Linked DNA regions of Daphnia pulex. The protein of the gene in region 1 interacts with the protein of each later gene in a pairwise test. Links are inferred from orthologs where the notes say so. Each region holds a gene or a part of one and is shown on either strand. Other genes may lie near its edges. The genes, in order: tuftelin-interacting protein 11-like; bystin-like; histone acetyltransferase Tip60-like; puff-specific protein Bx42-like; leukocyte receptor cluster member 1-like; exosome complex component RRP46-like; methyltransferase-like protein 17, mitochondrial.

What was found.
Region 2: the proteins of tuftelin-interacting protein 11-like (region 1) and bystin-like interact in binary tests that used the Homo sapiens proteins (3 or more experiments, as listed by UniProt). The link is inferred for Daphnia pulex from reciprocal best matches to the Homo sapiens genes TFIP11 and BYSL.
Region 3: the proteins of tuftelin-interacting protein 11-like (region 1) and histone acetyltransferase Tip60-like interact in binary tests that used the Homo sapiens proteins (3 or more experiments, as listed by UniProt). The link is inferred for Daphnia pulex from reciprocal best matches to the Homo sapiens genes TFIP11 and KAT5.
Region 4: the proteins of tuftelin-interacting protein 11-like (region 1) and puff-specific protein Bx42-like interact in binary tests that used the Homo sapiens proteins (3 or more experiments, as listed by UniProt). The link is inferred for Daphnia pulex from reciprocal best matches to the Homo sapiens genes TFIP11 and SNW1.
Region 5: the proteins of tuftelin-interacting protein 11-like (region 1) and leukocyte receptor cluster member 1-like interact in binary tests that used the Homo sapiens proteins (3 or more experiments, as listed by UniProt). The link is inferred for Daphnia pulex from reciprocal best matches to the Homo sapiens genes TFIP11 and LENG1.
Region 6: the proteins of tuftelin-interacting protein 11-like (region 1) and exosome complex component RRP46-like interact in binary tests that used the Homo sapiens proteins (3 or more experiments, as listed by UniProt). The link is inferred for Daphnia pulex from reciprocal best matches to the Homo sapiens genes TFIP11 and EXOSC5.
Region 7: the proteins of tuftelin-interacting protein 11-like (region 1) and methyltransferase-like protein 17, mitochondrial interact in binary tests that used the Homo sapiens proteins (3 or more experiments, as listed by UniProt). The link is inferred for Daphnia pulex from reciprocal best matches to the Homo sapiens genes TFIP11 and METTL17.

What each region holds. Positions count from the first base shown.
Region 1 is NC_060026.1:12,432,152-12,436,431, forward strand, and holds the start of tuftelin-interacting protein 11-like, read left to right. Parts: upstream 1-1,480; 5' UTR 1,481-1,517; coding exon 1,518-1,828; intron 1,829-1,888; coding exon 1,889-2,081; intron 2,082-2,154; coding exon 2,155-2,248; intron 2,249-2,319; coding exon 2,320-2,421; intron 2,422-2,478; coding exon 2,479-2,593; intron 2,594-2,668; coding exon 2,669-2,864; intron 2,865-2,927; coding exon 2,928-3,337; intron 3,338-3,400; coding exon 3,401-3,690; intron 3,691-3,758; coding exon 3,759-3,846; intron 3,847-3,935; coding exon 3,936-4,066; intron 4,067-4,132; coding exon 4,133-4,199; intron 4,200-4,263; coding exon 4,264-4,280. Other genes in the region: uncharacterized protein LOC124205947, read left to right, coding at 1-71, 255-506, 584-1,062. UniProt on the Homo sapiens protein: Involved in pre-mRNA splicing, specifically in spliceosome disassembly during late-stage splicing events. Intron turnover seems to proceed through reactions in two lariat-intron associated complexes termed Intron Large (IL) and Intron Small (IS).
Region 2 is NC_060024.1:1,297,751-1,301,731, forward strand, and holds bystin-like, read left to right. Parts: upstream 1-1,498; 5' UTR 1,499-1,640; intron 1,641-1,697; 5' UTR 1,698-1,700; coding exon 1,701-1,811; intron 1,812-1,892; coding exon 1,893-2,021; intron 2,022-2,076; coding exon 2,077-2,169; intron 2,170-2,241; coding exon 2,242-2,383; intron 2,384-2,440; coding exon 2,441-2,590; intron 2,591-2,659; coding exon 2,660-2,886; intron 2,887-2,950; coding exon 2,951-3,159; intron 3,160-3,234; coding exon 3,235-3,439; 3' UTR 3,440-3,481; downstream 3,482-3,981. UniProt on the Homo sapiens protein: Required for processing of 20S pre-rRNA precursor and biogenesis of 40S ribosomal subunits. May be required for trophinin-dependent regulation of cell adhesion during implantation of human embryos.
Region 3 is NC_060018.1:12,586,060-12,590,207, reverse strand, and holds histone acetyltransferase Tip60-like, read right to left. Parts: upstream 2,801-4,148; 5' UTR 2,750-2,800; coding exon 2,678-2,749; intron 2,616-2,677; coding exon 2,558-2,615; intron 2,484-2,557; coding exon 2,415-2,483; exon of another isoform or gene 2,351-2,414; coding exon 2,042-2,350; exon of another isoform or gene 1,975-2,041; coding exon 1,900-1,974; exon of another isoform or gene 1,828-1,899; coding exon 1,631-1,827; exon of another isoform or gene 1,569-1,630; coding exon 1,485-1,568; exon of another isoform or gene 1,423-1,484; coding exon 1,098-1,422; exon of another isoform or gene 1,034-1,097; coding exon 871-1,033; exon of another isoform or gene 804-870; coding exon 587-803; 3' UTR 500-586; downstream 1-499. Other genes in the region: serine/threonine-protein phosphatase 2A regulatory subunit B'' subunit gamma-like, read left to right, coding at 1-115, 180-307, 374-491; threonine aspartase 1-like, read left to right, coding at 2,934-3,035, 3,095-3,378, 3,444-3,627, 3,690-3,788, 3,849-4,148. UniProt on the Homo sapiens protein: Catalytic subunit of the NuA4 histone acetyltransferase complex, a multiprotein complex involved in transcriptional activation of select genes principally by acetylation of nucleosomal histones H2A and H4.
Region 4 is NC_060018.1:215,997-220,178, forward strand, and holds puff-specific protein Bx42-like, read left to right. Parts: upstream 1-1,382; 5' UTR 1,383-1,856; coding exon 1,857-1,873; intron 1,874-1,945; coding exon 1,946-2,566; intron 2,567-2,628; coding exon 2,629-2,827; intron 2,828-2,893; coding exon 2,894-3,210; intron 3,211-3,278; coding exon 3,279-3,557; intron 3,558-3,629; coding exon 3,630-3,831; 3' UTR 3,832-3,966; downstream 3,967-4,182. Other genes in the region: uncharacterized protein LOC124188708, read right to left, coding at 4,119-4,182. UniProt on the Homo sapiens protein: Involved in pre-mRNA splicing as component of the spliceosome. As a component of the minor spliceosome, involved in the splicing of U12-type introns in pre-mRNAs.
Region 5 is NC_060021.1:6,396,198-6,399,337, reverse strand, and holds leukocyte receptor cluster member 1-like, read left to right. Parts: upstream 1-1,245; 5' UTR 1,246-1,293; coding exon 1,294-1,316; intron 1,317-1,384; coding exon 1,385-1,484; intron 1,485-1,545; coding exon 1,546-2,592; 3' UTR 2,593-2,640; downstream 2,641-3,140. Other genes in the region: uncharacterized protein LOC124193654, read left to right, coding at 1-420; death-associated protein 1-like, read right to left, coding at 2,935-3,103.
Region 6 is NC_060020.1:3,912,812-3,915,704, reverse strand, and holds exosome complex component RRP46-like, read right to left. Parts: upstream 1,639-2,893; 5' UTR 1,490-1,638; coding exon 1,402-1,489; intron 1,313-1,401; coding exon 1,199-1,312; intron 1,138-1,198; coding exon 1,016-1,137; intron 950-1,015; coding exon 809-949; intron 727-808; coding exon 535-726; 3' UTR 501-534; downstream 1-500. Other genes in the region: serine/threonine-protein kinase D1-like, read left to right, coding at 2,549-2,680. UniProt on the Homo sapiens protein: Non-catalytic component of the RNA exosome complex which has 3'->5' exoribonuclease activity and participates in a multitude of cellular RNA processing and degradation events.
Region 7 is NC_060025.1:4,359,753-4,363,689, forward strand, and holds methyltransferase-like protein 17, mitochondrial, read left to right. Parts: upstream 1-1,338; 5' UTR 1,339-1,454; coding exon 1,455-1,836; intron 1,837-1,900; coding exon 1,901-2,162; intron 2,163-2,242; coding exon 2,243-2,456; intron 2,457-2,511; coding exon 2,512-2,655; intron 2,656-2,718; coding exon 2,719-2,802; intron 2,803-2,861; coding exon 2,862-2,991; intron 2,992-3,051; coding exon 3,052-3,190; intron 3,191-3,260; coding exon 3,261-3,375; 3' UTR 3,376-3,430; downstream 3,431-3,937. Other genes in the region: H/ACA ribonucleoprotein complex subunit 1-like, read right to left, coding at 3,431-3,727, 3,790-3,937. UniProt on the Homo sapiens protein: Mitochondrial ribosome (mitoribosome) assembly factor. Binds at the interface of the head and body domains of the mitochondrial small ribosomal subunit (mt-SSU), occluding the mRNA channel and preventing compaction of the head domain towards the body.

The DNA.
Region 1 (4,280 bases):
CGGAAATTGTGTTGATTCTATTGCAAAGTGCAACTGTGACTCAGTGGCTCCAGTTCAATTAGTCGATAACGGTAAGAGTTGAAAACGATTCTCGGAATTATACAAGATTTATAACAGAACATTAATTTTCTTTCATGAAAAATTATAAACAAATATGTTGAAGTTAATATTCGTGATCTCCTCGTCTTTCCGTGTGACAAAAATGACTCAGTAAATATTCTCTTTATTTTTTTTTTGGCTTCAAATGTTTTTAGGTGTCATTACGGACAAAAATGTCCTGCCCGTCACCCGCTTGAATTTTGGCCGAACTCAACTGGAAACTTCGTCGGGCATCCACACGCTTGGTCGATTGGTGTGTACCGGATCAGTCGCCCTGACTAGAATGCCCACGTCATGTAAGGATCTTTGGTTAATTGGCCACACCCTCAATGGATTTTATTCCATTATGGGATCTACGACGATGGAATCCGTTTACTGCGATTTCACCAAAGTTCCTGGCGATGACGGTAAATGTTTATTTTTTTTTCTCTTTATTATGCACTCTGAATTATTATTTAATAACAACAAATTATTTCTAAAAAAGGTTTCGAGAAATGGATTGGATACGCTGATGTCAAATCAGCGCCCGCCCATTTCTACGTTCAGAGAAGTTCTTCATTCAACACGGAGTTGGTTCCAATTCCTTTTGATGTGGCGCGGATAAACGTGGGAAATGCCTTTAACTTAACAACAGGAAAATTCACGGCCCCACGATCAGGAGTTTATTCTTTCGCTTTTACTGGATCGGTTGAACTTCCGGCTACAACGTCTCTAGTTCGCTTGCAAATCATTCTTTATCTGAACGGGAATGGAGTCGGGATTGCTTATCTCGAAGAGGGAAACACCGTCGCTTTTCAAAATGATCAGTTGTCCCTCCAGTCGACGCTGAAATTGAAATCAGGTGATCAAGTTTGGGTTCAGATTCAACAAATCTTACCAGGGGTGTATTTGGCTGACAACGGTGACCACTACACTCATTTCACCGGTTTCATGTTGGAGGAAGATATTGCCTCGTCTCTTTGAAAATTTCAGCTGAAGGAACATCCAAAATGCGAAAATCGACCATGGACTGAATTTTGACCCGATTATTGAAAAATATATTACGAGTGGTAGAAAATAATTTGATATTAATTAATAAAGGAATGGTAATTTGCTGGAGTAGGATTGAAATAAGATTTTTTTTTAATAAGTAAAAGGGAAGGAAGTTCGAACTGGTATCACATGTTCAAACCGCTGGGACCTGTTATACGCGCTCGCACTACGTACCTGGTTACTGTTTAGCATTCTCCAAGGTAGCAGAAGAAATATAAAAATACTAAGCAACTTTGTACTTTCAGTTTTAACTGTGTTGTGTGTTGTTAGTTTGTGTTCTTCAAACTAAATCATTATTTGATGTGTTTCTAACTGATACAAAAGAAAGACATATATCATCAACTTATTTGGTTAATTTTCATCATCATTTTACTAAATTTTTGAAAATGGCTAATGAAGAAGAGATGGAGAGTTTCGATGTGTCAGAAAGAGATTTGTATGATGCTTTCCAACCTGGTCAACGTCGTTTTAAAAAGATGACGAAAAACCAACAGATATATGGAGTATTTGATGAAGATGAAGGGGAAAATTTCACTCAGCGGTCAACGTCATCTTCTGGCCGTCCAGGTTTTTCCAAATCGTCAACAGCCAAGGATTACACCACACCAGTTGATTTTGTCAAAGGTGGTGTTCAGCAGGGATCAAAAAAGGAGAAATTACCTGAGAAAAAAACCAAGCTCTTTTCGTATTCAGAAAGGTATGCCATTACATAGTTATCTTTCAAAGACAATTACACAGTGCTTTTCTGATTTTATAGTGACGAAGAAGATGATTCCCACAATAGTGCCAGTGAAATCAATCTTACAGCTGGAAAGAAAACATTGCAGGACAAGAAACAGCCCAGAAAAATGTTTGATAGGTTCAGCAAAGATGCTAAGAGCTCAGGTGCTGGCGATCTTGGTGAATGGGAAAAACATACTAAAGGAATTGGTGCTAAGCTTCTATTTCAGGTGTGTCAGTTTTATTTTGTTGAATGCATCCCAACAGATTAATTTACTATTTTAATAATTTTTCTTTGTTTAGATGGGTTACCAACCTGGAAAAGGACTTGGTAAAGAGTTGCAAGGAAGAAGCCAACCTGTGGAAGCTCAGGTTCGCAAAGGAAGAGGAGCAGTTGGTAATGAAACATTGCTTTTGATTTTCACTTAACTTATTGATCTCTATTGTTGCAATTTCTTCATGTCATAGGTATGTATGGAGCTGAACACAAAAATGAACCTGCAAAGAAACAAGCATCAGATGATGAAGAAGAGAAAGAGTTCAAGAAAAACTTGGCCCACTGGAGAAAAGGTAAAGAAAAGTTAATATACTAAAATAGTGAGTAATCTTTTAAAAAATGAATATTAGATTTAGTCGAACCATCGTCGAAGAAAAAAAAGATCCAATATATGTATCGTACTTCCGAAGAAGTGATTGAAGAAATGTCTAAAGGTGGTGTTCATAGAATGGCTCGAGAATACAGGTAATAGTATTGAGATTTTAAATCAAGACCTTTCATTTTTTCTGCATGAAATCTAAAACACTGTTGTATATATAGTGAAATTTCCAAAGCCAAAGTGATTGATATGACAGGCCGAGAACAACGTGTTCTTCAAGGATACAGCGCTCTGAGAACCAAAAGGACGGAAGAGCCAAGCGATTCCGAACCTGCACCAGCTGGACTCAAAGTTGATAAATTTCAACTTGAAAAACTCTGCTACAACTTGGACACTCTAGTAGACCATTGTGAACACGTAAGATATTATTGTCACAATTATTTGGATTTCATAATCAATTCTGTTTATCGTTAATAATAGGAAATTATTCAAAATGCCAAAGAACTCTCCTACAATCAAGAGCAAATATTGGCCATGGAATCGCAAGTGAAAAATATGAGCGTTGAGGTTTCTAAGGAGATCACACGAATGGAAATGCTTACATCGATGCTTGGAGTCCTGGAACAGCTTGAACTGAAACAGGCGACAAACGAGCTATCTCTAGACTTCCTTTGGGAGCAGATAAGGAATTTGGAACAAAGCTACCCGGAAGAATACGTATCGTCGGATCTAGCCAACGTTACTCTGACTTACCTCATTCCCCTAATGAAGTTGCGATTATCAACCTATTGGCGTCCCATGGATTCTAAATCAACAGATGAAGCTTGTCGTTTAATTTTTCAACGATGGAGACCTATCTTGGAATTTTGCAACAAGACTCAGACCAACAGGTAAGAATATTCGGTGGGAGGTGGGAGTGAGTTGCTTTGTAAAACATTTTTCAAAATTCACAGTCGGGGCGGAATTGTTAAAAATGATAGTCGAATGGATCCTTATCACGGGTTGTTATGGCATGCCTGGATGCCAGCATTTCGAGGACTCGTTGGACAGTGGACTTGCAAAAATGCGGATCCAATGGTTGACTTGATCGAGTCGTGGGAGCAAATTTTGCCAAACTGGATCATGGAAAATATTTTGGATCAACTCATTCTTCCCAGAATACAAAAAGAAGTAGACAGTTGGAATCCGTTGACTGATCTCATTCCCATTCATGCCTGGATCCATCCCTGGCTTCCCCGACTAGGTAGTGCATTTATACTCGTGTTAGATAGTTGCATCATGTAGTAAATTTAAATAATTTCAAATTTTCAGGATCAAAACTGGAAATCGTATATCCCAACATTCGGCATAAAATGGCACAAGCGTTGGTGGCTTGGTCACCGTCAGATCAGTCTGCACGGTATTTTTTTTTTTTTATTAGTTTTTAAAAGGCTGACTATCTTTAACGTGTAACTTAATATATTGTGTACTTCCGTATGGATTTTTTAGTTCCGTTTTGATGCCTTGGGTTCCCGTTTTCTCCAAGGGTTCCATGGATGCTTTCCTCATCAAAAATATTTTACCAAAACTGCAAGTTGCTATTGCAAATTGGGACATAAACCCCAGTCGACAAGAATTAGGTTCGTTACTACAATACTACAGAACTTAAATACGTTTATTAACTTTTACATTGAATACATAAATAGATGTTTGGCACTGGATAATGAACTGGAAAGATCTTATGCCTTCCCAAAGCCTTATACAATTACTTGTGTAAGTATAATCTTGTATCATGGGTTTAAACTAAAAAGTACAATCTTCTGTTTTATTATTGCAGGTCCAATTTCTTCCCAA
Region 2 (3,981 bases), on another chromosome or scaffold:
AAGAAGACCAATCAAGGATCCTGATGTCTTGTAGCACAGCCCAAGAGATGTGGATGAAATTGGAGACTGAGTATGAAGAAGATGCCGCAGACAATGCACCTCTATTGTGGACAAAGTTCTATGGATGCACATTTCGACCAAGCCAAAGTGTATCAAGCTTCCTGACTGAGTTGGAACAGATAGCATTCCGTCTGAAGAGCCTCAACATAGCTATTGATGATAATCAAATAATGGCAAAGATACTCATGTCGCTTCCTCCAGAGTTCCGTGTTTTTGCCTTTGCATGGGACAGCACGCCTGTTGCAGAGAAAACTCTCAAGAAACTGACTACTCGCCTTATAGCATTGGACAAGAGCCTGCGCAACGACGAAGAAGCAAAATCGACATCTGATACTGCCTATCTCAGTAAGCCGAACAGAGATGAATCACAGCACAAAGAGCAAGCACTTCCTGCCCAGTACGGTCAGAACAAAGGAAAAAGCCACCCTTCCAGTCAACATGCTGGTATACCGAGAACATGCTGGGAGTGCAACTCCACTACGCATGTTAGAGCTCAATGCCGTCAATACAAACGCCGGCGTGAGAGAGAAGGAGAAGAAGCGGACAGAAAAAGGAAGCGTTACGATCGACATGACAGAAGAGATGATAAACTATGTAAGCTCCCAGGAGCAACTGGCCGATGCACTCACGAAACCCCTGGCTGCTCCACGCTTCAAGTATCTCCGTGACAAGATTGGCGTTCGGGGTGTAGGGGAGGTGTAACTGAAGAGTTAAAGGAGGCTGATATTTCTTTTCTTATTATTTGTCTTGTGACACTGAACCTAGTATTTATGTCTGATTCAAATATGCTGTGTATTCTGTGCTCATGTTTATTTTTGGGGGTCCAGTTTGAGGGGAGGTGTTGAGTATAAAAGATAAACAAACTGGACAGTGCGGCAACGCAGGATAGCCAGGAAAGAAGAGAGGGGGAGAAGGACCTACCCAGACAAAGGAATAAGAGAGGGGGACTCAGTGCTGTTGACGATTGTGGCTAGGCGAGTAGCAATACAAAGCGTTCTTTGCAGCAAACAGGTTCACGTGTTAATTTCTATATCAACACTGCTAACATAAAGCTATAGTAGCAATATGGTTGTTACACATAAGCTACATAGAATATTACATAGTATACGTGGCTTATAAAAGAGAGGTAGGACCGTAGGAGTAAAAATTATTTTGAATTTTGAGATTCTGTTATAAACGGCGTGTACGTCGCGTTGATTCCTAAATAAGTTATACTTTTTCTCCGTAACTAATTCAATACTTTTTCTCCGTTTTTTGCGCAAGGTAAACTCAGGAGTAACGAAAAAAAGTAAAACCCTTCCGATTCAGAAGAATCCTTAAGCTAAAATAATATATTTAATAATTAAAAAATATAAAGATTGGCTGGAACTGGGAGATGGTCTATTCTATCTTTTAATTTTTTCTCTGAATTTAAATAGCTACAGAGAATTCCTCATAGGGGTGCTGCTTGCGACACGACACAGGGGGCGATGTCACATCTTCAAAAAATTCGGGCCGCCTACATTCTAGGTTACTGTACACACAATTTACATCCCCACGTGTTGTCTAAACATTTGTGAGGTTACCGCTCATAGATACTAGTAAGTAGTAACTAGTAATTTCATTGCAATCCAAGTCTTTACGTGTGTTATCAATAGAAAATGGGTAAAGCAAAGAGACTGAAAGTTTCAAAGACAGGAACTGGAAGAACTGAAGGTCTTGACAAACAGATTTCAAAAGAAGAAATTGCCTCAAGTAAAGGGCGAGTCAAGGTAAGTTTAATTGAAATATTTTTATTGCTTCAAGAGACTTCTGTGAATTAATAGGTGTATCTATTTTGGTTGTTTCAATAGGTCAGAGGGAGAACTGATGCAGATGATGAGTTTGTTGATGATAAACTCTCAGCAAGGATTTTGAAACAAGCCCATCAACAACAACAAGAACTTGAAGAAGAAATTGAAGGAACTGGCTCTTCGTTTAAAGTAAGCTCTACGTTGCTCAAAGTTTTATTAACTTGGTTAATTTTATGTTTACTAGGCAAGAGCCACTTCCTTAGGAGCAGATTTAGATGGAGATGGAAACAGTGAAGAATCAGACTTTGAAAAGGATTCACAATTTGAGGAAGATGTGGTAAGGTTAACTGCTTATTAATCATATCAAGATGATGGTTAAGATACTGATGGTTGACTGTATTCTCTATAGCAAGTTGATGAAGAGGATGAAAAAGCCCTGGCATTGTTTATGAATCCCAACCCAGCACCAAGGAGAACTCTGGCAGACATAATTTTAGAAAAAATAACAGAAAAACAGACAGAGATCCAGAGTCAATTTTCTGAAATTGAAAGTAAGTTGCAAATTTATTTGATTTAAATGGACTAGAAATAACTTGATAACATTTAAGGCGTCAAGTTTCAAGATGTGGATCCTCGAGTTAAATCGTTGTACCTGGGTGTGGCATCAGTTTTACATCGCTATCGAAGTGGAAAATTACCCAAAGCTTTCAAACTGATTCCTTCATTGCAAAATTGGGAGCAAATTTTGTATATTACTGGTAATAAGATTTTCTGTTTGGTATAATTGCAATTAAACTTAAAAACTGATTTGTATGTTCTGCTTTTAGATCCGGAGAAATGGAGTGCCGCCGCCATGTATGCTGCTACACGAATATTCACATCCAACTTGACAGAAAAAATGGCCCAGCGGTTTTTTAACTTGGTTCTTCTGCCACGTGTTCGTGATGATATTGCCGAGTTCAAAAAACTTAATTTTCATCTTTATCAAGCCTTACGTAAAGCCCTCTTTAAACCTGGCGCGTTTTTTAAGGGATTTCTTCTTCCGATCTGCGAGGTTGTGTTAGATTGTTTTTCATATTTTCAAATTGTTTCATATACATTTTCATATTTAATTGCAGAGTGGGACTTGCACTTTAAGAGAAGCCATAATTATTGGTTCCGTCATTGCTCGCTGTTCCATTCCCGTTCTACACTCTGCTGCAGCGATCTTGAAACTTGCTGAAATGAATTATAGTGGATCGAACTCGATATTTTTGAGAATATTCTTCGACAAAAAATACGCTTTGCCGTATCGTGTGGTTGACGCAGCTGTTCATCATTTCGTAAAGTAATATATTTACACTTTTTATGAAATACTGGATTGTAACTCTTGTTAATTAATCTTTCCTTTGTTTGCATGTAGATTTCAGCTGGATACAAGGGAAATGCCTGTTTTGTGGCATCAATCACTTCTAACCTTCAGTCAACGATACAAGGCTGATCTTAGTAGTGAACAAAAAGAAGCGTTGCTTCAAGTGATTTCCGTTCACAAACATCATACATTAACACCAGAAATCCGTCGTGAATTGTTACACTCCTCTTGCAGAGATGAAGAAATGATAGATTAAAATGAAAGATACTGTGAATAATAAACTCGGCGTCTGAATTCATTTGTTTTCTATTCCTAGCAAACAGTGTTTGATTATGAGAAGTCAAGATGGAATGAGATCTTACCTGTGGTTATGAAACGGATTTTTGGAACATTCGTATTTTTAGATGTTATATCATCAGTTGAACGAAATATCATCGCTGAATATCGATTTGCGATACTAAAAGCAACATAAGCCAATTCAATTTCAATATAGGTTAATATACGTTCTTTATTTCCAAGGCACTTCGGAAAACATTGAAAGAGATATTACACACATCTCTTTTCCCTATCCCTTCAAAAACTGTCAGCCAAAAATACATTCGGACTTGTTACGATTTTACGAGGTTAAAGAACGAAACGCTTAAGCATGACGGTGAAAACACAAAAGGTAGAAACTGCGACTGATTATACACGCCTTGAGTGAAACCATTATTAACTAGTGATTGGTTAACAAGATATAAGTTTGATCTGATACCAACATTCATAGGGGGGAGGGGGGGGGGGAAAGGCAAATTATGT
Region 3 (4,148 bases), on another chromosome or scaffold:
CGTATTGGCCATGGACAATAAAAAGGAACCACAAGCACTTCAGTATTTTTTCCGTTTGTTGGACGTCAATCATCGAAACCATCTCAACACTTTTGACCTCCATTTTTACTTCAAAGTATTAATTTCCTCATTTGACCTTTTGACTTTCTTATCTTGAAAAAAAAAAAAATGCTTTGCAGGGGGTTCAAGAGTTGATGCAGCAGCACAAACAAGAAGTCGTTGCTTTTGACGACGTCAATGATGAGATTTTCGATATGGTGCGTCCTGCCGATCCGTCAAAAATCACTTTACATGATTTGATTAACTGGTAACACACAAAGTTCATTTAGAATTTTTTTAGAATAAGATTGTCATTGAACGTTTTCTGGCTCAGTGGATACGGTGAAACTGTGATCAATATCTTGATTGATTTGGATGGATTTTGGACATACGAGAACCGTGAAGCTGTTGTCGTAACAGACAAGAATAACCAAGAGAAACAGGACATTTGAATTTGGAATTCTTGTACATAGAAATTGTGAGTGTATTTTTTAAAAAAAAGCAAAGAAGTAGCAAGATCGCGGAATGGATTGTAGGTGCGATCTCATCACCATTTCCCTCTTTTGGACCAGTCTTTCGGTGTCCAGTGCAAGCATTTGGGATCGATGTGTAATTTCCATTTCTCTTTGTTTTTTATGCAATTTTTCATCGCTTCTTCGTTCAGAATGAGTACGTACTGCCCCTTGTAGTAATTGATGAGGTTCAAATGCTGTAAGGTGGACACCACGTCCTCTTTTTTAATGCTCGTCATTTCGCAAATTTCGCTATTTAAATTAAAACGAATTCGTTTGTCAACGTGAGCTCTAGAATGAAGTAATTTACATCACTTACTTGATGGTAATTTGAGGACGTTCACCTTCACTGGATGGTTTCATATTCATCAGAATATCACAGATTGTAAAAGCCCAGTAACTGCGATAAGACAGCAACCCTAAATCGGACAGAGGTTTTTCTGGCGAGCCCGTTTTGCCTTCGAACTTGGACAGCTCGTAACCTTTACGTAAACAAAAATGGTTTTAAAAAAATATTTCCCCTTGGGTTTACGATTCTGTACGCACTGAATTCAATAAGAAGTTTTCCATATCCTTTCCGTTGATAGGGTGGTAATGTTAAGATGCAGGCGACATTGTAGTCCTCCGAGCTTTCTTTCTCTTTGCTAAAGTAGCCGACGATATGAAAACCTCGTGCATCCACTTCAGTCATGACGTAAAAGAGGAACGGATCAGTGTCGTAATACAGTGTCTTGTGATCAAGGAACAGTTTCGCTAGCAGGCATAGGTTCTGAGCGTATGCTTTATTTTTACGGCCGTCGATTTCAAAAAAAGAAATTGTCTGTTTGCGGTAAACTTCATTGCCTGGCGGATGTCTAAGATTGCACTTCATCTGTAGAAAAAGTTTAAGGGTTGATCATCCAATTAAAAATATATCGTAAAATTTTAAATTACCAGATGACGTTCTAGACATTTTTCACTTTTCCGGTACTTGAGACAAAACTCGCATATGTAAATACAAGCTTGGTGAACCATTTCCTAATTTTTGAAAAAGAATAGTAAACATTTCGGATCTTTACGTTCGTTAGATGATGACATACCTGAGGGTAGGGTGCGAAATACCAAGGTTTTATTCTGTGTCTGCCGAGTTCAATCATTTGAATATTTTTCATTCGTGTTACAACGTCATCGTGATGTGTAACAAGACTGCCCGACTGACGTGGCCCTGGTGTAGTCGGTGCAGGGGTGGACGGTGGGGCCGGAGAGTTAGCATCTCCTACCTCACAAACTGAATCACCTATGCAGAAAATTTTAGTTTTAATAATCATTTATATATAATAAATAGATTGTAGAAAAAATGACTAATTACTTGTAGGAACAGCACAACTATCGCTAACTACGGTGGGTGGCAGAGTGGGGATTGCTGGTAATTCTTTTTCAATTTCTATAAAAATAAAATTTAAAAGAATTTATGAAAAATGTAAAGAATTAATGAAATAAAATAACTTTACTTATAAGTTTCTTGGCAGGTGGGATTGGAATAATGGATCCTGGACTGGGCTCTTCTTTTTCTCCAATTTTACGTTTTCTTCCATTTCTCTTTTGTATTGCTGCAGCCAGTAGAGCAGACCCATTGACAGTAAGGTCTGATGCACTGGATGCAGCTAGTGGGGAAGAAGGACGGGAAGAACCAGTTGTTCCTCCAACTTTTTTAGGAGTACTCATGCCTGTGCCTACTTGAGTTCCATCTTTTCTAGGAAACTGAATTTTTCTCGTATCTAAGAAATCTTCTGAGACCCAATCATCAAGTCGTTTGTTGACTAGAGTTGAATTAAAAATTTTGTAAGATGATGTATCGTTAAACATAGCATATACAAAACTTACAGTCGATGTAATGGACATAAAACATCCTGATGTTGCAGATATCTTTGACACTGAGTACTTCGGCTAGAGCTAAATGATAACAAAAGAAAAACCACAATTAAACTTTCAAATCTATAAAATGATAACAAAGCAACAAATGTTACGCCAGTCTTCGGTGTTTCTCATCCGTACAGGCAACCGACAGCCTTCAACAACAGATGCCTAGATAATAGAATAAACAAAATTAAACATGGTTTCTAATGAAATAATGTAAAAATTCATACAGTTGAATCTGAAAACAGATCTTTATCTACAATCTCTTCTTTCATTTTTGACAATGACTGTTCGGTCTTCATTAGAGAAAAAGCTTTCAAAACAACAGTGCGCGGCCATGAGCGACATTGCCGCTTTTGCCGGTTGGAAATGGTAGTCTTCTGCTAGCTCTCTCACAAACTGGACCGATCAGTCCCATTTCAAATTGTAAAATGAAATTTCGGTTATGAAAATTCTCGACAAAATTTAAACCATAAAAGTGCAAAAATGTCACAGTATGGATTTGTTGCTATTCATCTTGGAGCAGGCTGCCATAGTTCAAAATCTGAAGCTATTTACAAAAAACTTTGCAAAATAACGTGTGAAAAGGCATGGCTTTCTATTAGTGATTCATGGTTTCATAGTTTGACTTGATAAGTTTTTCCCAGGGAGCAGCTTTATTGCAAGAAGGAAAATCTGCACTAGATGTTACGTGTGAATTGGTTTGCATATTAGAAGATTCACCACTAACTAATGCAGGATATGGCTCCAATCTCACTGAGAGCGGTGAAGTTGAATGTGATGCAGGAATCATGTTGTCTTTGAAACATCAAAGAAACACACGATTTGGAGCAGTCTCATCACTTAAAAGTATTAAAAATCCTATAATGGTAGCCAAAGAAATCATTTTATACCAGAATGAACCAAGACTTCTTGGTAGAACACCTCCACTGTAATTCAAAATACCATTTGCATCACTTAAAATGAGTGGTTAAATTAACACAGCCTTTTTTTTAGTGTTCTAGTAGGAGAAGGAGCGTCTGATTTTGCTAAAAACCGAGGTTTGAATCTTGTTCACAATAGCACTCTTATATCTGACAAAGCCATGAGAAAGTATAAGAAATATAAAGAACGGCTGGAAGTATCCAGAAAAGCTTTATCAAGTGGGCTAAAGATCACAGTGCAGCCAAACCCAAGTCAAGTAATATATTTGGTTTCCTAAAGTAATGTTATCCAAATATCATGGTTATTTTTTAAATCTAGGATACAGTAGGAGTAATTTGCATAGATACGAATGGTGACATTGCAAGTGCATCGAGTTCGGGAGGAATTGCTATGAAGCTTCCCGGCCGAGTTGGACAGGTTTTCCTTTATTCCTTCTTGTCATTTTAGTAGTCATTTACAATGTGTATATTGCGATAGGTGCCAGTTTACGGCTGTGGTTGTTGGGCGCAGCATTCCAGCTCCGGTGGTGTTGCTGTGTCAACTTCTGGTTGTGGCGAGCAACTCATCCAAACAACCTTGGCCAAGAAGCTTGGTCAAACCATATTAGAGCGAGGAGATCCGGCTTTCCACTTGAAAGAGCTCATGTGTGACGAGTTCATCCATTCAGAAATGCTGTCTGATGACGTCTATGACCGGATGGGTGGTGTTCTAGTGGCGTATTATAGCGAAGATTCGATAGATTTCAACATGGCCTTCACAACTGATTCGATGGTCGTC
Region 4 (4,182 bases), on another chromosome or scaffold:
ATTGCCATGGGGAAATGTCGCGGCTTCCTGATACATTTTCATAAGAAACACACGCATATCTACTTGAATGAACTGTATACATCCTGCATGCATTTATTATTGTTCGTCTTAATGAGATGCTCGGTGCTGTTGCGTAATTAACGTGCCTCGGGACCTCAACTATCTCTCTCTCCATGGGCAAATAACTTGAATAATAAACATGACTGCTGCCATGGGCTTATCTGTCAGTAAACTTCACCATCAGCTGCTGCGCCACAAGCACCCCGGTGCCAAATCAAGTTCCCCTTGTGCCAAGGCCTACATAGTATAGTCTGAGCGAGACAAGGCGGCCTATATCGATCGATCCGTCCAAAGAGCCTCAACCAACCCCCACCACCCAGCCAACTGTATTATCGCACAAGGGAAAAGGCGAAACTGCTATACACACACATATATAGTCTTGGATCAAATAGATGATATATATACAGAGGAAGAAGAAGACTTTGATAATGAGACGTGCTGCTGCTGCCGTTCCTTTATTTATTGGAGACCGGCATCAGCACATCTCGTATTGATTTCCTGTTGCAAAGAGAGCAGCCGTCGTCGTCGAAAAGTTCCCAAATCTTGTCCTACAACTGTCTCTCTATTATCGGATGTACTGTATGCATTGTGGATGCATTATAAAGCCCTACGCCGCAAAAGAGATTTATTGGCCCACACATTGAAAGTCGAAACGGAAGGCGGAAGAGAGACGGAGATGAGGCGAGCTCACGGTCACCGCACATCCACATTTATCATTTGTTATGGGACGAGACTCTGAACTGCCTCGCTGATTCGCATCGCTTCAAAATGAGAATCTATTCACTATAGTATATCAAACTCTTACGTTGGCATTTATGGCCACCGGATTTCAGACTGTTAAGCCAGCTATCCGTTGATAAATCAGATGGTGCAACCCTCCCAACGAGAACAGCATTTATTTTTACGACTGTGTCGTCGTCGTGGGATATATTGGCCAAAGTGAAAGTTTTTAAGGTGTTTACTTTTTTCATATGGCGATGCGCTCAGTTCCGCTCGGCGTCCAACTTGTAACACAGAGAGGGTCGATTTCATCAGCGCTCACTTTTACACGTCGGCGTTAATTGCGTTGCATCAAACGAAAAACACAGTGGGCGGCAACTCGTTATATTTTGCCTTGCCATTAGATGTTATTACAAGCAGATTGCAAGAGACGCGAAGTTCCATTAGAGTTGACAAGCGTTCGTATTTCAACTCGGGGCGGGTATGGATTACTTGACTTTCTTATTCTTTTCCACCCACTCTCGACTTTCATCTCATTACCGTAAAAAATGCCAAGAACGGCTGCGAGGAGAAGGAAAAAGGTTGTTGACTGCGCTCTTATTTTTTTATGGAACGGAGAAGAAAAACGTCGGAAGGAATATGAGAGAGAGACTGTAATAAGAAAAGGCGCGCTAACACTCTCATCTCAAGTGCGTCTATTTATTCCGCCCATCATTAAACCTTATTGGATACATCCAACGCAGAGCATACACACACACACGGCGCCACAATCTTGTAAAAAGTTTTCAGGATCGATACGACGTTTTTCCTTTTTTTATATAATTCCCATCACGTCTTGAGCGCCCCATCCCATTGATGGAGACACAATTTTATGTAAACTCTGGATAATTTAATAATATTCTTTTTTTTTTAATTTGTATCGAATAAAATGTCGATGTTGCGAAAAGCCGAAAATATCCCGCATTTTATCTCGCTCTGTTGCGAAGAAACAATCTGACAACGTTGCATCATAAATTATTCTCGAGTTACAATTTTTGTATTTGGCAACATCTTGGTTGAAAGACTCGACTGAAAACATGGCGTCGTTATCAAGGTATAATAATTATTTTTTTGATTTCCTTGTATTTAAACTATGTATTAATTATGGTCATGTTATTTTATACAGTTATCTCCCAGCGCCAACGCAGTTGACGTGGGATCGAGATGTCGAGGAGCAAAAGGAACGTGCTAATCGCCAAACGGCCATCGTGGCCGCCACAAAGGCAATCCCACCATACGGAAATCGCGATTCATGGATGCCTCGAAATGTTTCCGATTTCGGAGATGGAGGTGCTTTTCCCGAAATTCACATGGCCCAATATCCAATGGACATGGGTCGCAAAGACCAGGCTGGACAAAAGTCAAATGCCTTGGCCATCCAACTTGATGCAGAGGGAAAGATCAAATATGATGCTATTGCCAGGCAAGGCCATGGGAAGGACAAACACGTCTACTCCAAATTCACTGATCTCCTGCCTGCTGAAATTACCAATGAGGATGATCCCTCTTTGCACAAGCCCACAGACGATGAAATTGCAGATATAACAGAGAAAACGAGACAAGCCCTGGAAAGAATCACCAATGCCAAAGTAGAAGCAGCTCTTCCAGTCCGTGCCGCAGAGAGAACTGGCCCTGCTCAATTCATTCGCTACACACCAGCACAGCAGGGTGATGAATTCAATTCTGGCGCCAAACAACGCATTATCCGCATGGTTGAAGTACAAAAAGATCCCATGGAACCCCCAAGGTAAATTTTAGAAAAAGTGCCATTTCATTTCATTCCCATATTGACTGATTATTTTTCACTAGGTTCAAAATCAACCAAAAAATCCCCCGTGGTCCACCTTCTCCTCCTGCCCCCGTGTTGCATTCTCCTACACGTAAAGTAACTGTCAAGGAACAACAGGAATGGAAAATTCCGCCTTGCATTTCAAATTGGAAGAACGCTAAAGGTTACACCATTCCTCTTGACAAACGTTTGGCAGCCGATGGTCGAGGACTTCAACAGGTGCCGTCCCTAACGACCTAAAAACGTGTCTTTCCCCAATCAACTAAATGTTGTTGTTTCTCGCAGGTTCACATTAACGAGAAATTCGCGAAATTGGCCGAATCATTGTACATAGCCGATCGAAAGGCCAGAGAGTCGGTTGAACTTCGCGCCCAACTTCAAAAGAAACAAGCGCAAAAAGAAAAGGAAAAGAAGGAAGATACTCTGCGACAGCTGGCGCAGCAAGTCCGCGAAGAGAGAGCAGGTCTGCGACCCGGTGCAGGCGCTGCTGCTGCTCGTGAAGACGACGATGATGCAGCGGAGCGTGACAACTTGAGACAAGAACGGCATCGTGAGCGTCAACGTGAGCGCAACATTGCACGCGCGGCTCCCGGCGATAAAAAGTATTAAACATTTGATTTCCTTTCAACTTTTTCCAGTCAATTAATTAACAATTTCCATTGACGCGTAGATCCAAACTCGATCGCCAACGCGAGCGTGACATTAGTGAGCAGATTGCATTGGGGATGCCTGCTCGAGCTTCTGCAAGTGGCGAGACCATGTACGATCAGCGTTTACTGAACCAAACTCGTGGAATGGACAGTGGATTCGCCGATGATGAGGCCTACAATGTCTACGACAAACCTTGGCGTGAACAAGGAACTCTGTCCAGTAATCTCTATCGTCCGACCAAGAACCTCGATCAAGATTTGTACGGCGACGATTTGGATAAACTTGTCAAGACCAGCAAGTAAGTTGACCTACTTTCAAGGTGCATTGGTTTATGAAGTTGAAACTCATTTTGTTTTTCATTTGTTTACAGGTTTGTACCTGATAAGGAATTTAGCGGAACTGATCGTTCTGGTCCTTCCGGCTCCCGCAGTGGTCCAGTTCAGTTTGAGAAGGAAGAGGATCCTTTCGGCCTCGACAAGTTTTTGACGGACGTCCGCAAGGCCAGTAGCAAACGACCCACTGACGCGGAACGCTCAGACAAGGACAAGGATAAGAGACGGCGTCGAGACTAAATATTGTTTTTCTTTCCGTTGACGATTTCGCAATTTGTTTCATTTTACCTCACACAAAAAAAAATCTTTTTAAAAAAACCACAAAAACAATGATTCCTTTTCTCCAAGACCAGAATACATTTCAAATGAAATGTCTGTGACTAGTTTTATTTATTCATTGATTACGAGACAAAACACTTGATTCAATACTGTAAAGTGACGAAACATTTTGCAAGAATGTACATAATGGTAAATCGAAAATGCAGCAGAAGACTTGAATATCACCAGACAAGTGTAAGTAATAATCATCATGAAAAGAGTCCAGTGGAAAGTCCACGATAAAAACACCTAGCCTCCAGAAGCCTGTGTAGC
Region 5 (3,140 bases), on another chromosome or scaffold:
GCCAGATTCCAAGGGTCGCAACTCGTCTTGTCTCCGCAGGTGAACCTCGGGGGTGCCACCAACGTCATCTACGGGATTCGCTGTCGGAAATGCGATCGCCGACTTGGACCCTGTAATATCAACTACGTCGGCCAGACTACTCTATCGCTACGTGAGCGGGTCGATCAACACGCCTGCGCAGCAGCAAGAACGTTCATCAACGGCATTACTGAGAACACACCGTTTCGACCCATGTACGAACATGCTGCCGACCGTTCCCTCCATGACCTACCGCCGGGTATCCTACCACGGCAGGTTTTCGGTGAAGTGATGGAAGTGATCCTTCTGCCCACTGGTAGTGGTGACCTTCGCTCGTGGGAATGCTTTTGGCAATTCTTTTGTCACTGCAGGACCTTCTTCTATGGCTGGAGTCATCAATAAGACTTTTAACTTGTAAGCAGCATCCGGTGGACAGTATCGCTTGAATGTCTTCATTGCCTTTTATAATAAAACTAACGCTCTTTTCGTCGTCCGTCGTGTGCCTAAATTCTAGAGTTCCTCCTTAAAGTCTTAATAAATCATAACAAAATAAAAAGTAGAATTGCATTTAATTGTTATTTAATAATATAACAAGTGAATTTTATGCAAAGATTTTAACATGGTTCTATCAGAATCTAATTTGCATTTAAATCAAATGTTTTTTTTTTTAATGCTTACAAATTTGCAGATCCAATAGGCCAATACATTGAGCAACTGGCCCAAGGGAAAAATAGAGGTGTGAATAAAGTATGGGCCGGTCCCACCCTCTTTTCATATATTTGTAGAAAAATAAATTATCAGAAAGATTGTACCGTGAAACATGCAAACGATCGTCAACGTCAACGGCTACGCTTGAAGTGTGTGGGTGGAAAAATAGACAGAGCGTTTTCAAAGACTCCCGACTAGTCCCTTCTGTAGTTCTGTTCCATCCAAGCTCTTAACAATATAAAAAAATTGGTTTCAATATATCTTTTTTTTTTTTTAAATTGGTTTTTATGTTATAAAAAAACAACGTTGCATTTAAAAAAAAAGTGGCACAAACGGCGTTCCATGAAAATGTCGTATGGTCAGACGGGTCAGAACTCAGAATTCAATTTTGCAAAGAAAGTAAGAAACTCGATCGAAATCACGATGAAATCGTTTAGCAAGTGGGGCTTTTCTTTTTTGAATTTGAGCCAACATTTTTTAACTGTCAAACCTTCCGCTAGGTGGTTGTTGTTATTTTTATTTTCTGTCAAGTTGGGGATAAAGTTGGGTTTGTAATCGTTCTTCGGGATGAACATTTTACCCAAGAAAAGGTATTCCCGTTTGTCTTAATTTATTCTCACTTATGTCATTTAACTAATAAGGATTTCCTGCGTATTAGATGGCATGTGAGAACCAAAGACAATATAGCTAGAGTTCGACGCGATGAAGCCAAAGCCGCCGAAGAAGAAAAGGAAAAACAAAGACGTGCTTTACTTGCTGTAATTAATTTTTAAAGATGTCAATGAATCAAGAGAAACTCATGATAAATTAATGTTTTAGGAGCAAGAAACTAGAACCACCATTCTGAGGACTCGGGCAAGAGAAAGACAAGGTCTCACCTCAGTAGAAGAGTCAACGAAAAAGGAAGTCCCATGTACCACTGAGACTCGCTACGAGATTGTGATCAGGAATGGAGCATGTGTGTCTGTTCCTATAACTGAAGAGAAGAATCTTGTCCAATTCACCCCATCTGGTCATGTAAACTTCTTTGCCAACTTGGAAGAGGGCAAACAGGTTGAAGGAGTAGCGAATAAAGAACATGAACTTGAAAAGAAGAAGGAACAAGAAGACTATGAAAAACAGATTGGTTTACTCACCTACTTGGGACAAGGATCAAGGGAGTCGACTGGTGAATCTGCTTGGTATGAGAAACCTTCTCTGTTAAAGACCCTGAAAAATCAGACCCAAGAGGACATCAACTATAAAGCAGAAAGAGCTAAAGACATGTTTGATCCCCTTCGAGTGATCCGGCATTATATAGGAAAACCGGAAATTCCTAAGAAAGATCAAACAAAAAAAAAGTCTGAGCTTCCTGACCTCCGATTTCCCGCTGCTAAACCAGAAGCAATTTCATCTTCAAGAGAAAAACGGCACAAGAAAAAGAAGAGGAAATCAGAAAAAGAAGAGAAGAAATCTAAGAAACACAAAAAGGATAAACGTCGTTCAACTGACGATTCTCAAGCAAGCAAGAAAAAAAGAAGAAAAACAAGTAATTCAAGTTCAGAGGATTCTACTTCAGAATCCTCAAATTTATCCGAAGACTCTGATGCGGAAAAGGAAAAGCGATTGGCAATTTTACGTGCCAAGAGACTTCAGCGTGAAAAGGCTGAACGTGCCAAAGCCAACAAACTTTTAGCCACCGTCAACGGCACCATTGCTGCAACATCAAAGGAAAAGCAATTGAGCCGATCAAGCACTGACGACAGCGATTCTGATGAAAGGAAAGTTAAGGCTAAGCCGAAACAAAAGTATCATTCTCAATATAATCCTGATGTTGCTAAACAAAATCAACCACTTGATTCTGCAACCAAGTATTGGCTGCAGTAATAATTTTGTCCCATAAAATTATTGAAATATACAAGACTTTTTTCATGATTGTAAATGTATTTCTCTTTTAATTAACAAGAGTGAAAAAAAAGAGTACAAAAATTAACCATTTTCTCCCTCAACCATGATGAGCAAGTAAGAAAAAAGTCCTTCATATAAACCCTCAAAAACAGAACAACCAAAAGAAAACCATAAGAAAAAAAAATTACCAGTGATAAGGTAAATAATAAACACAACCTGTCTGAATAAACAATATTAGATTGTCCACAGCAATAGTGGAATGAATGATCATTAGCAATTAGAAATAATCACAATCAAGTCCATCACAATTGAAACTACCATCTACTGTTTACGAGGTTGTTGAATGAAATTAATTTTGTTGCCATGCTGACCAGCACCAGCATCATGGTTGTGAGTGGGAACTGGTTTCTCATGAATGGCTCTAGCTGCCTCGGGAGAGAAAACCTCCTTTTCTTTGACCTGGGCTCCAGAAATCACCACAGTCTTGGGCCTGAAAAATAATTAAAAATTTAGTAATCATGTAAAAA
Region 6 (2,893 bases), on another chromosome or scaffold:
TTTATTTGTGTTGACTTTGACTTGACAGCCTAATTGGCTAAACTTTCTAATTGAGAAAAACATTTCAAGGCCTATTACCGTAAAGGCTGAAATCGCACTCGATATATCCAGACCACCTTGAAATAAATTTTCAGAATAACCATAAAAGAAATTCCTTTATGCTACATTTTCCGACCGAATAAATCCTAAAAATGGTAGAACTACCTACCATATGTCATTCTAAGAAGAGTTTGTTTCAAAGTTAAGTTTATTTTTTTTCTGATTTCACAATCGGCACTTTTACTATACCTAAATAACTTGTGTCAAAATTGTACCGCATTGCATTGGAGCCAAGCTCCGGGCAGGAAACCTTCTAGATATAGTTTTGGTGAACGTGATTACTCGAGTATTGCTAGATGCGCATGACATATTAGGATGGATTGGTTTTCCGAAGAAATTTAACGATACTGGAAATAAGCAAGCCTATACTTATACAATTATACTTTGTTTTCAGTCGCATATACAAAACTTTAAAATGTGTATTTTTTGAAAGTTTTACAGAAGTTCGTTGGAAAACTTTCGTAGTACTGCTTGCCGGTAGAAATCAAAGATGACGTGACTGGCTTTCTGACACAGCTCCATGGCTTTTTGAAAAAGTTGATAGGGAACTTGGCCTTCACAGTGGCTCAGAATTAAGTTGTATTTTTGACTGTCAAAAGCAAAGGTAAACATTGCTTTATAACCTTCCTGTAATGGGGAAAAAAGTAAGTTAGGCACAACAACAAAAAATGGGGGAAAAAAATTAGTTAATTCTTAGTGGAAATCATACTTTGACTGTGCTGATGCATGGGTCTAGGACAATTCTATCCTTCTTGTCTACCAAACAAGTCACTGCAGCTACAAGACACTGCAGGGGTAAACCCGAGTCAAGAAGTGCAAGGCACACAGCATTGATGGAGGCTGCTAGCAACTAGTTTATGGAAAATGTGAACAACTAATTCTTGATCAAAATAAATTTGTTGTGGTAAGTGCTTACAGTTCCACCATCTTGCATTTCTTGAACTGTTATGCAGACAGCTGTTCGAGGGTGCAGGTTCGTCAAAATAATGTGATTACAAGTGGTCTTGATGAGTTTCTCCTTTCCACGCTCAGCAACACCTAAATAAAAATGCATTCAATATTACAGAAATAATAATACACAGGATAAGTTATTAATAACCTGGCATTCCTGTTTTTGGCTTGTAGTTTAGTTCAATGTACATTCTATCGGACAGTTCCTTTTGAATTTTAGCCTCCAAAGGTCCATAAACTGAAGCCATTACCACAGTATTCCCTGAAATGACAAGTCAATAAAATAAAATTTACCGACTTGGACAAAATAACACGAAAACAGCGTGGAAAAAGTTACAAATCTAAACTTACCTTGAGAAAACATCACCGAGCCATCTGCACGTGACAGTACGCTTTGTTCGCACTTTAAAGCACGAATGCTATTCTCTTCAGTCTCCATGGCGAATAATAATATTGCAAGCAATTCTTTGTGATTGAAAAAGTATTCAATAATTCAGATTAAGAACGCAGCCCTGTTTCTGCATAAGCAACGTGATCGTAAAAAATACATGGGGTTGACGGGTCGGCAACAGCAGTCTGCAGATGTCTCTAAGTTACCATGGCAACCATTTACTTAATCACACAAAATATAACTTTTAACTCCATGAATTTAAAACAACTATTATATTTGTAATAAAGAAGACCTGAAAAATTCACAATTTTCCAATGTAGCTATGAATATGTATTTTTCATGGATTTCGTTCGTTCAGTCACGAGAGAATGGCAACGCTGTTTTTGGCCAGAAAATTGTGAGCAAGCCAAAGACGGATCTCCGAGTAGCGACAGTATTTATTAGCTCGGCAGACTACCAAGTTATCGTGACTTGAGCTGCACGGTCAGAAACACACACACACACGTACGTGAGTCTGTTTCTGCATTTCTCGAGAGAACGTAAAGTGTGCTAGTGTGTGTGTGTGTGTGTGTGATGTTTATACGTGAATTTTTTGTGTGTGCCATCATGATTGGGAAACCTGCGTATTAATTGAATTTAGTTTGGGCATTTCCATTAGCCAGTCCCTCTTATTCGCACCGACTTTTTTCATCACCAACGTGTTATCACGCGTTGTGCTGCTCCCATCTGTGTTGGTTTTAAAACAGTCGTGTTGCTCAGTTTTGTCGTGCAATCAAGTGGAGGTAAAAACCCAACCTTTTTTCTTTGAAGAAGAAAGAAAAGGAAAAATCTAAGTGGTGCCAGGGCGGGAGAACGACGAAAGAAAAGGTGATCTCAGCCCGAGGCTATGTGACATTCCAATCAACCTGTTGGTTGCTGGAACCCGTTTTTTTTTTTTTTTTACTCCATTGCTCCCACCTGATTGCACACACACACACCAACCACACAGACTATTCCAACGAAAAAGGGCCAGTTTTGTGTGTGTGCGAATTTCACTGCCATCCAAAAGTCAAACTTCGCCATAATTGTGATTGTGTTTTTCATAAAATTTTGGATCCAAGCTCCATCATGGATGATGGTAATGGTCAGGTGACCTTTATGTTCCAAGTTGGACTGGTACGAGACTTTATCTCCACGGATGCCTCCCAGTTAACGCTGAAAACGCTCAAAGATTTGGCCTGCAACTTTATTAATCAACGGGTAAGTGTTTTTGAACATTACACGCCGATCCAATTACCTCCACGTCCATGCATCACTATACACCTGACAACGCCTTTATTGTAGTAACCAGAGAGCTTTTTTGTTTTGATTATATTACGTCATCACTGTCGTTGCTTAAGTGTGTTTGCCGTGTATATTTTTGCCTTTTAAGTTGCTAAGCTGTTGTATTCGGAATTTTTCTCCATATTTTCC
Region 7 (3,937 bases), on another chromosome or scaffold:
GACAAAAGAGAGATTAAGAGTCATATTTATTTCGTCAAGCTGGAGGAATCATTGACTGGCCCAATAGGACAGGCAAAAATACGCCTGGCACAGGAGCTTAATCCACTGGTTGGGGGTTGCATGCTATTGAAAGAGCACCTGGAACTTTGGAGCGTAAGTCAACAAATCAATCAATCACCGGTGCCATACGTGCTTGGATAGCGCTAGATTTTTATCGATTTTTATAATTAGCCTATTAGATTTTTTGTTCAACGCGACAAGCGAGCCACCTAAAACCGCCTAAAACAAACAATTAAATTGTGCTTGATGCGCTAGGTTCCATTTAGCGCAATTCGTTTTATCTTATGATTTCCGGAACGCGCAAGCACGCGCGCATATACGTAATGCCCATCGCGTAAGGAATCCGGCAGCTGGATCCATTTATTGTGAAAAAAATTCGGATAGACCGTAAAAACAATTTTGTCATGACATACAGTACTAAACTCCTAATCCTAAGCTCCCTTGTAAAATAAAAACGAAAAAACCATGCTGCTAACTACAAAATCATGTATGTAAAACTGAACGCTAGATGGCTACGTATTTAAAAAAGTCACTACATACGATGCCAGATATTCGATTTTTAACATTTGGTACTTGCGTCGTTTGGAAATTAAGTCGTCGGGACATAAGTCGTTTGGAAATTAAGTCGTCGGGACATAAGAGCATTGGATCTTATAACCACAATTACCGGAATTTAAAGCAATCGGGTACATTTACTTTCGGTACGCATGTCGTTGGAATAATTCGACAATGGGACCTATGTCTATTTATGACAATTTGGAACCAGTGACGCATTTAACCTAACGCCACTGGGACTGGGACTTGCGTCCTGCTCCGTAGGAAATGCAGAAGCATAGACAAAGACCACTGGTTGATGCTGTCCATAAGAAAATTAACATGGCCAACTGTCGCCAGAATTCTTGCTACCCTTCCTCCGATTTTCCCGATTTTGTTTTGCTTGTCCTGCCCTCTAGTGTACGTTTTATTCTCTACACTCTGCTTACATCTATTCCATTGCAATCATTCAATTGATTTCTCTGCTTTTGCAATTGGCAAACGTCAAAATTTAATACAAAATGACTTTTAAGTAAAAATTTGGATGAAAAAATTACCTAGAACTTTTAAACGCCAGCAAAGAATTTTACCAAGACAGAAGGAAAACAACTTTCGTCTGCAACACCCTTGCTAGCCACGGTGCAGTACAGCAGTTTATCCGCTAGGGGCAGGACAAGCAAAACAGAAACTCGGGGTCAGTAGGGACAAGTAGGGATAGGGCTAAAAGGATAGGACATGCGAAACCAGTCTTCTTTATCTATGGCAGAAGAGTCCCGTCCTTAATTAAAGTAGTCCATGCTGTTTAGTAACACCCCAAATAACACGTGTGTCGTCTGTCTGTATTTTCTTTAAAAATCAAAATGTTTTCTCCAAGATATTTACACATGCAAAGTCGTATATATGTATCAAGTAAGAATTTCAACAGTTCATTTAGTACGTCTTCACGTCCTATCGCCAAATTTGACGTGTCTAATGGCAAAGATTCAGACAGTCAAACGTCAGAACTTAATCCGAAAGGAAAGCATCTTGGAGTTTTCAGTCATAGTACTGTGAAATTGCCCGAACAGTTGAAAAAAGCAGTTGATAAAATTCTTAGTAGTTGCACAGATACAAACTTATCTCAGAATGCCGAAATTTTGAAAAATCATTTAATCTTCAAGAAACCCCCATTAACTGAGACTAAACTTCAAGAAATAAAAGTTAGATTCACTGAAAAGTTGTCTGCAGCTCACCCATCCCCAGGTAAATTCACTAAACTTCCCTTGATTTGATTGAATTGTAAACACCATTCCATGTTGAAATTTAGATAACTCGTTTTTAAGTGCTGAAGACGAAAAGAAAATACAAAATACTTTAAAAAGTAAAATACAAAAGGTTGTAAGCCAAAATACCTACAGATGGAAACCAGTGATTTACAACGAAGCAGTTGCTTTGACTTATCTGGTGGCACGAATAGCCCCAGAATATGCAACATTATACCAAATATTTCAGGAAATATGCAGCCGAGACCAAAATTTCCAACCACAAACTCTGTTTGATTTTGGGTCTGGAATTGGCTCAGCACTATGGTAGATATAAAGCTATTAGTTCATTGATGGTCCCCGTCACTGTGTGTTGCACTATTATTTTATTTTATTTTATATTTTAGGTCAGCCAAGTCATGTTGGGGTGATAAGAAATTTAAAGAAGTCTTCTGTGTTGATTCTTCTGTTGACATGAATAACCTAGCCCTTGCCCTCATTCAAGGAGGGGTTTGGCCTAATAAAGCATCAGATTTTAACCCAATAGATTTGGATGAGAAAGAATTTTCATCTACCATTAAAGGCCTTTATTTCCGACAGTTCATGCCTGCATCCTCTGCTGTAAGTATTCCTTTCATGGGATGATTTTGTAAAATTAATCTCTGTTCAATTTTAGGTGAAATATGATCTTGTTGTTTGTGCCCATTCGCTTTTGGAACTCCCTTCAGCAGAGTTACGTTTACAGATAGCATTGTCGTTATGGCGTAAATCACAAGGTTATTTGGTATTTGTAGAGCATGGAAGTCGAGCGGCTTTTGAGGTAAGATAATGCTCATTTATTCGTAATTTTAAGTGTAAATTAAAATAATACAATTGATTATAGGTGATAATGGAAGTTCGCGATTTTTTACTTAGTTTATCAGAAGGAAATAAGGAATCAAATCTTCAAGGCTATGTTTTTGCACCGGTAAATTGTAACGTTACTGTAACTATTTGTGTTTATTTAAATCTTCCATCGTTCAATAGTGCCCCAACAAAACACGATGTCCACGGCTAGCTGAAACAACTCCTTGCAACTTTGAAGTTAAATATGAGCCCCTTCAAATAAACCAAAGAATACAAAAAGAGAGGTATTCTTATTTAGTCTTGAAGAAAGGTAATCTGTAGTGTAACATCCCTGGCGTATTCATTCAATTAACAATTACGTCATTCTTAGGCCAGCGGCCTGATGAAGACTTGCAATGGCCTAGAGTAGTCCGGCCTGTTCTCGTTCGATCTGGTCATGTAATATGCAGACTATGCACTCAAGAGGGAAAGCTTGAAGAAATCGTTATTACTCGAGCAAAAAACAGCAAGTAACTAACTTTAAAAACCTCACTACTGAATTCAATTTCAGTAAGTAAAATCGTAAATTTCTATTTTTAGGTTAGAAAATCTAATGGCTCGTCGAACAAAATGGGGTGATTTGTTACCTGTTCAACTGTCTCGTCCTGATACAACAGAATTAGAGTGTACATTGGAAGACGAAAAAAACCTTTAAAATTAATGGTTTATTGGTGACTTGGTGAGTCATGAAACAAAGAAAAGATTGATTGCTACTTCTGAAATTTATATCCAAATCCGCCACTTCCACCTCGTCCTCCAAATCCTCCCCCACCTCCTCGTCCTCCAAATCCTCCTCTTCCACGGTCACCTCCGCCCCTGCCACCAAATCCTCCTCTTCCTCCGCGATCTCCACCTCCACGACCAAATCCACCACCTCCTCCTCTGCCAAAACCTCCTCTACCACCGGCACCACCTCGACCTCCCCCGCGTTTGGCTACGCGACCAGCTCCTCCTGGTTGAGGTAAAAATCGGCCCAATGGCAGTAGCTTTGCAGGATCAATGTAAATCTAAACAAAAAAATTTAGATAAATATAAAAACAAGTCTAGAGTAACAGTATCATATTCTTACCTTTTGATTGGGTGTAAATGATTTAGCTTTAACATCTTCACTAAGTTTCACTGAAACTGAATACTCTTTAATGGAACCAAAAATTTCATCAACTTTGCCAATCTGCTGCTTGTTTTCCAAATAAATTGGAGCATTGAAGTATGGAATA